Saccharomyces cerevisiae S288C: one gene and its partner. The protein of the gene in region 1 interacts with the protein of each later gene in a biochemical or structural test. Each region holds a gene or a part of one and is shown on either strand. Other genes may lie near its edges. The genes, in order: SDH2 and TCM62.

The links.
Region 2: the proteins of SDH2 (region 1) and TCM62 form a complex in vitro, tested with the Saccharomyces cerevisiae proteins (one study listed by BioGRID).

Annotation. Positions count from the first base shown.
Region 1 is NC_001144.5:52,476-55,913, reverse strand, and holds SDH2 (succinate dehydrogenase iron-sulfur protein subunit SDH2), read left to right. Parts: upstream 1-1,982; coding exon 1,983-2,783; downstream 2,784-3,438. Other genes in the region: membrane morphogenesis protein VPS13, read left to right, coding at 1-1,703; ATG10 (E2-like conjugating enzyme), read left to right, coding at 3,324-3,438. UniProt on the Saccharomyces cerevisiae protein: Subunit of succinate dehydrogenase (SDH) that is involved in complex II of the mitochondrial electron transport chain and is responsible for transferring electrons from succinate to ubiquinone (coenzyme Q). SDH1 and SDH2 form the catalytic dimer.
Region 2 is NC_001134.8:323,728-327,991, forward strand, and holds TCM62 (Tcm62p), read right to left. Parts: upstream 2,333-4,264; coding exon 614-2,332; downstream 1-613. Other genes in the region: QDR3 (Qdr3p), read right to left, coding at 1-218. UniProt on the Saccharomyces cerevisiae protein: Chaperone. Required for the assembly of succinate dehydrogenase subunits. Ensures mitochondrial gene expression at elevated temperatures and prevents heat-aggregation of the ribosomal subunit VAR1.

The DNA of each region.
Region 1 (3,438 bases):
ATGAGAAGGTTAATACACAGATAGTTGTTTCGTTCAAAGGAGTTGGTATCTCATTAATCAATGGTCGTTTACAGGAACTTCTATATATTAACATGAGAGGGATCGAATTAAGATACAATGAATCTAAAGCATACCAGACTTTCAGTTGGAAAATGAAATGGATGCAAATAGATAATCAATTATTTTCAGGAAACTACTCAAATATTCTATATCCAACAGAAATCCCCTACACAGAAAAGGAAATTGAAAATCATCCAGTGATATCAGGTTCTATTTCTAAAGTCAACGATTCCTTACAGGCTGTCCCATACTTTAAACATGTTACGTTATTAATCCAGGAATTTTCCATACAATTAGATGAAGACATGCTGTATGCTATGATGGACTTCATAAAATTCCCAGGATCCCCATGGATCATGGATTCAAGAGATTATAAGTACGATGAAGAAATCCAGTTACCTGATGTTTCTGAATTAAAAACGGCGGGTGATATATATTTCGAGATCTTCCATATTCAGCCCACCGTCTTACATCTGTCCTTTATACGCTCCGATGAAATTAGTCCAGGATTGGCTGAAGAGACCGAGGAGTCATTTTCGTCATCATTGTACTATGTCCATATGTTTGCTATGACATTAGGTAATATAAATGAGGCGCCGGTTAAAGTTAATTCTTTGTTCATGGATAATGTAAGAGTCCCATTGCCCATTCTGATGGACCATATTGAGAGACACTATACGACCCAGTTCGTGTATCAGATCCACAAAATTTTAGGATCAGCAGATTGTTTTGGTAATCCTGTAGGTCTTTTCAACACAATTAGTTCCGGTGTCTGGGACTTATTCTATGAACCATATCAAGGTTACATGATGAATGATAGGCCTCAAGAAATTGGTATACATCTGGCTAAAGGTGGACTAAGTTTTGCAAAGAAAACAGTCTTTGGCCTCTCTGATAGTATGTCCAAGTTTACGGGGTCGATGGCCAAGGGCCTGTCAGTTACACAAGATCTGGAATTCCAAAGGGTCAGGAGATTACAACAAAGAATAAATAAAAACAACAGGAATGCCTTGGCAAACTCAGCGCAATCCTTTGCCAGCACACTGGGAAGCGGGTTGAGCGGAATTGCACTGGACCCATACAAGGCCATGCAAAAGGAAGGCGCCGCTGGTTTCCTCAAAGGCCTTGGTAAAGGTATCGTTGGGCTGCCAACTAAGACAGCCATTGGATTCTTAGATCTTACAAGTAACTTAAGTCAAGGCGTGAAAAGTACCACCACTGTGCTTGACATGCAAAAGGGTTGCAGAGTGCGTCTACCAAGGTACGTGGACCATGATCAAATCATCAAGCCTTATGATCTACGTGAGGCCCAAGGACAATACTGGCTCAAGACCGTGAATGGAGGAGTATTTATGAATGATGAATACCTGTCGCACGTTATATTGCCAGGCAAAGAACTAGCAGTAATTGTGTCCATGCAGCACATTGCTGAGGTGCAAATGGCCACCCAAGAGCTTATGTGGAGCACAGGATATCCTTCCATCCAGGGAATTACATTGGAAAGATCCGGTCTTCAAATTAAACTCAAGTCTCAATCCGAATACTTCATTCCCATCAGCGATCCTGAAGAACGTCGGTCCTTGTACAGGAACATCGCCATTGCTGTTAGAGAATACAATAAGTACTGTGAAGCTATCCTATGATCACATATGAAAGTATATACCCGCTTTTGTACACTATGTAGCTATAATTCAATCGTATTATTGTAGCTCCGCACGACCATGCCTTAGAAATATCCGCAGCGCGCAAAAGGCGGCCTCGCATTGGCCCAATTAGCTCCGGTGTAAAAAGGGCAAACTTATATAAGGGGATTAATGACTTTCTATGAGAATGCCAAAAAATGTTAGGCTAAAGGAAGGGATTGAAAGGAATATAGTTGAGCTATACTTTCTTGAAATACTGGAGTATACATATTTATAGGGATGTTGAACGTGCTATTGAGAAGGAAGGCCTTTTGTTTGGTGACGAAGAAGGGTATGGCTACTGCCACAACAGCTGCAGCTACGCATACCCCCAGATTGAAAACTTTTAAAGTTTACAGATGGAATCCAGACGAGCCAAGTGCTAAACCTCATTTACAGTCATATCAAGTGGATCTGAATGACTGTGGGCCCATGGTACTTGATGCGCTGTTAAAGATCAAAGACGAACAGGATTCTACCCTAACTTTTAGAAGATCATGTAGAGAAGGTATCTGCGGTTCATGTGCCATGAACATTGGCGGTAGAAACACGCTAGCTTGTATATGTAAGATCGACCAGAACGAATCCAAACAACTCAAGATCTATCCATTACCCCACATGTTTATTGTCAAAGATTTGGTACCTGATTTAACTAACTTCTACCAACAATACAAATCTATCCAACCTTACTTACAGAGATCATCGTTTCCAAAGGATGGAACGGAAGTGCTACAAAGTATTGAAGATCGTAAGAAACTGGATGGTCTTTACGAATGTATTCTGTGTGCATGCTGCTCTACTTCATGTCCATCGTACTGGTGGAACCAAGAACAGTATTTGGGCCCTGCCGTGCTAATGCAAGCCTACCGTTGGCTAATTGACTCTAGAGACCAAGCTACAAAGACAAGAAAGGCCATGCTAAACAACTCCATGTCATTGTACAGATGTCACACCATCATGAACTGTACTAGAACTTGTCCAAAGGGCTTGAATCCTGGTTTGGCTATTGCTGAAATTAAGAAATCTTTGGCATTTGCCTAGACTATCAGAAAAACAGCTAGCCCCGAAGAACTCAGAAGCCTCTCAAATGATTTTGGCACTAATAAAAGCACCAACTATTATTATTATTATTTTCAAGGACGAAACTCACCATTCTCACACATTCCTATACGTTAGGCGTTTATGTTTACTCTCTATGACTATTATTTATTTATCATTGGCAATGCTATGACCCGGTCTGTATATATGTCCATCATAGGCGACAAGGTGTTCTAGTATCTTCAGGTATTGTTGTTTTTAAGGATGAATTTATATCTTTGTTTTTGAAGGGCCTTTTGGCTTCTCTCCCCTATTTATTCAATTTATAACTATTTATTATATTAATACACGCGTAATGCTTAAGGTTTATTATTAAAGGACTGTTTTTATATTTACATGCCTGTAGTTAATTATATTTTCGTTGTGAAATTTCTGTTAAGAAACTCTATATGAAAGGTAACGAACTTAAAATTGAAAAGCAATGAGAAGAGAACACCATGAAAAAAAAAAAAAAAGGGCTAAAAAACAGAATTATCAGACTTGATGATTCCTTACCAGGAGTGGCATAGCCAACTGCAATCGTTGTATGACTCCCAGATTTTCCATAACTGGGCCCTTTGCCAAGATGTCCATTTGAATGATGAAAAGGATGGACTTC
Region 2 (4,264 bases), on another chromosome or scaffold:
TCACTCTTCAACCTACTTAGCTGGTTGTCTCTGTGTTCACGACTATTTGATGCCGTACTTTCCAGATTGGTCTTTTCGTAACTATAATCGTTGTGCTCGCTGTGCGGGCTGCCGCTGCTTTCATCGCAGTGCATCATAACATGATTGTTCGGTAGTGAATTGTCAGAGCAATTACTCCTCAAAGACCCTACATTCGATTGTGAACCTTGGGCTTGCATGTTTATCGCTTTCTGACTTCGGTCCTAGCATAGACGTTAACAAGTTAGAAAGATGTGAATACATATGCCTTCAACCCTGTTTTCTTTTAAGGATACAAGGACACAGCTATTACAACAAATTTTGTTGGTTTCTATCTTATCTAATCGATAATCTTTTAATATTTTAATCTAATCGCAGTTATCCAAAACTGGAATGAGATGGTTCAAATCCCCAAAGGTAGATGGAGTTACTGCTGAGGCGTGGAAAAACCCGAGTTTTTCCGAAGCCGCATATGAGAAATTGAGCAGGAATAATAGATATTTACGAAGAGGTAAAAGTGATAAAAGGCAGCGCCGTGGCAATATCTATTTACAATGACTCATTCTGACTATTTAAAAGTATGTAAGGGCTTTATCTAGGCTTTGTGCCGTTCAGGCTTTTTGTATACACATGTGATAATTGTATTACAGCTTGTAAGTAATTCAATGAACGTTTCTACACCGGCTAAACAAGAATCCATTTTGCTCCATGGCTCCAAGTTTCCATCCTTTACTGTGTTCACCGGTTCTGAATTTGGAGAAAACTTGGCCATTGGAAACGATTTTTCGTTTATAGCGCCTGCTATCAGGCTATTGATCTCATAATAGTTGTACCCATATGCATTCTTAAACGCCACTTCTGATGGGAGAATAACTGCTGATAAAACAGCATTGATGCCTACCTTAGTCATGAAATTGGGTTCATTTGCTTTCAGTTCATTCAAACCTGGAATTGCCTTCAGTAGGGAGATGCCGTAACCTGGGATGAAACCTTTGGCCAGCCCATGACATAGGACGTTATTTAAGCAATTATCTATTGCATTTCTTCTTCTGTCGATTTCGATTTCGTTATGTCCACCAATGCTTAAAGTGACCGTATTTTGGAGGAAGGATTTCGGAACTTTATTTGGAATCGCTTCAGCATCAATGGAGTTATATAAGAATGCCTCCCCTGTGGTCGCTTTTATGGATTCGATACTGCCGTAATATTTATCCGCACACATTTTGCTTGGCACTAAAGGACTATATTCTGGTGAGTAGATGCTGTCATATCCGCAAGGCAACCGTAAGAACTTTATAAAATCAAGATTCTCCTGTGGCGCTAAGTCATTGTTCGCCTTTTTAGAGTACTTCAAAACCACTATTCGGCTTTCATTATTTTCTCTCTTGTTTCTGTTATTGTTAATTGTAACGGATGTTAATGCATCACCTGTGCAATCTCCGTTAACGATTAAGAGAACAGATTTTCTCAACTTTCTTGCATACGTTATCGTGGGTAGAATTTTATTAGCGTCTCGTAACGTCCCATCATACATAAGAACTAGCATATCTTTATCAATGGAAACTAATTTCTTAGTAGGCAACTCCAGGGACCTTAAATAGGCTTCATTACTATCTAAAATACCAGCTGGATATTTCCAACCCTTGGATACATCAACCTCATCGTAAGTTTTGTTGCCGTTTATGACCCGCACAATGTCATCCGAAAACAATTCATAATTAATGGCTTTCAAAACCCTTTTGATGCTTTGGCTGTCTGAGGAGGACATAGTCAATTGCTCGACCAGAGCATCAACATCGTTTTGACTTTTCACTATAATCTTGTTCTTCGCAAGAAAATCTCTGATATATCGTAATCCGGCCTTGATCCCATTGGTCACTTCTTTTTCGGGATACTTGAAATAGTGCTCCAGTAAAGAGCATGTCAAAGATGTTGAAGTTGCTGTTAAGTTGTCCTGAATGCAATCCATGAATAATTGTAGACCAACCCTCCCCAGCTTTCGAGGCCTGTTTGATTGAAGTCGTGTGTTGGTAGCTTCATCTACTTGTAGGGAATCTAGTAACTCACGCATTACATTGTGAAGTCTCATGGTATCATGAGAACTAACGACCTGTGGCTTGGATTTATACTTAGGTTCATATATCAATGTTTTATTGTAGGAGGATGAAGTTATTATTTTTTCCAACAGCTTAATACCAGAGAGCGTATCTCTGAGAACCTGAAGGTTTTTTGTTCTATAGATTGGGGTGTGTAACGTTTTTACCGAACATTTCGTTTGATGATTTCCCAATTTCCTCAAACAATTCCTCAGCATACTCGTTAAAGCATAAGAGAGTTTTATGTTTACAGTAGTGTGGGAGAAAATAACGCCAGGTTAAAGCTCGTAAAAGGTAAACTATCGCACTATCGAAACTTTTGTTTCACAGGGAATGGAAGAAAGGGCCTTTATTTTTTACATTTTTTTAAGCCATAACGGATTTTAGTTACCGAGATTTTCAATCCTATAAGAATTACCTAAACTATTAAAAGCGGACCCATCTAAAACATAACGTTCGGCAAGTAGATGTATTGTTCCAAAAAGGCAATACATCCATACAACGGTGCCACCGATCTGTAATGAATGCTCCGTAATGTTTGGGGGATTCATTAAATTTACTGCTGGAACCGAGAGAGAAACACGACAGAGCAATTCATATAAATGAATAAATGAAAACTCGGTCGTATTGCCCTTAAACGTTTATAGGACCAGGTTGGCTACTTCCTCATCTCAATTTTGTGATAGGGGAGGTCTGCGTAAGGAATCAATTCGGATACCTTGGTAGTACTTTTAGGGGCACATTTTTTATTTCTACTTCTTGTATTATTAGGTATCACTGAGATCTATCTCTAATGATGCCTTCACTCCCACAGATAGCGGAAGACATTAATGCACTTCAAATCAAAACTTCTTCAACTAAAGCTACTCTTTTCGAACGCAGAAGATATAATTTCATTCCTAGAGACTTTCTACGAACCTAAAGTAGCAAATTTAAAAAAATAAAGAGTTTGATCCAACCGAGGTTCGAACTCGGGATCTTCGCCGTGTAAAGGCGACGTCTTGAACCACTGGACCATTGGACCCGGAACTCGATACTATGTCATTTTTGGATATCGGTTAGTTGTATACATTGGATATCTCATCTAAAAGCATTACGCATGCCCTATAACTGGTAAATTCAATGAATGTTTTGTAAGTTGAGGGGATGCTAATTCCCTACGAAGTATTTCTATATTATGTGCAACTACATCAAGAAGATAATATTAAAGTTGTTGGAATAAGAATCTGTTGGAATGGAAATCAACTATCGTCCATCAACTATAGTTATACTACTGGTATTATCATATACGATGTTAGATGATGACATAAGCTATGAAAAAACTGCCATTGAAGTTAAAGGAAGCTGAAATGCAAAGATTGATAATGTAATATGATAATGAAACATTTAAAACGGAATGAGGAATAATCGTAATATTATTATGTAGAAGTATCGATTCCATTCGAGGATTCCTATATCCTCGAGGAGAACTTCTAGTATATTCTGCATACATAATATTATAGCCTTAATCAATAAAAACCCCAAGAATTACCTCAAAATTCACCAATATCTCAAAATCAACCTTCATCTGTCTACCAGTAGTCATATTATTATATGTTATCATATACAGTGTAAAAAAGATGATATAAAGATTGAAAAACAGTCATCAGATGTTTGGGAAGCTGAAATAAAATATAGTAGGACAATGGGTGACAATATATAAAATGGAGAAAGAAATAGTAGCCTTATTACGTAAAAGTATCAATCTCTTTTGTAAATTTTTGTATCCTGGGGAAGAACCTTTATCATATTCTCTATTCCTAATGTTATAACCTTAACAACAACGAAATCCCAAAAATTATGACAAAATCCACCAATATATCAAAATTCACATAAAGAAAGCCGTATTCTATATAACATTGCAGAACATTTTTCTAACACATTACCAATCGTCAAAGTTCTGCCTTTACTAAATCAGGTGCTGAATTTTGAATCATATATAAATAGCCAAGTAGTTTGTGCGGTCGATTCCAACGCCGCTTATAATCCTATTCCAGCAATATTAACAATGTAGTCTTAAACTGATATGGTAACGACAGATAGAAGATAGCTGACCCATATTCAACCAAATATCTTGTCTAGAAAGGCGCATTTGATAGGCAAAAAATTGC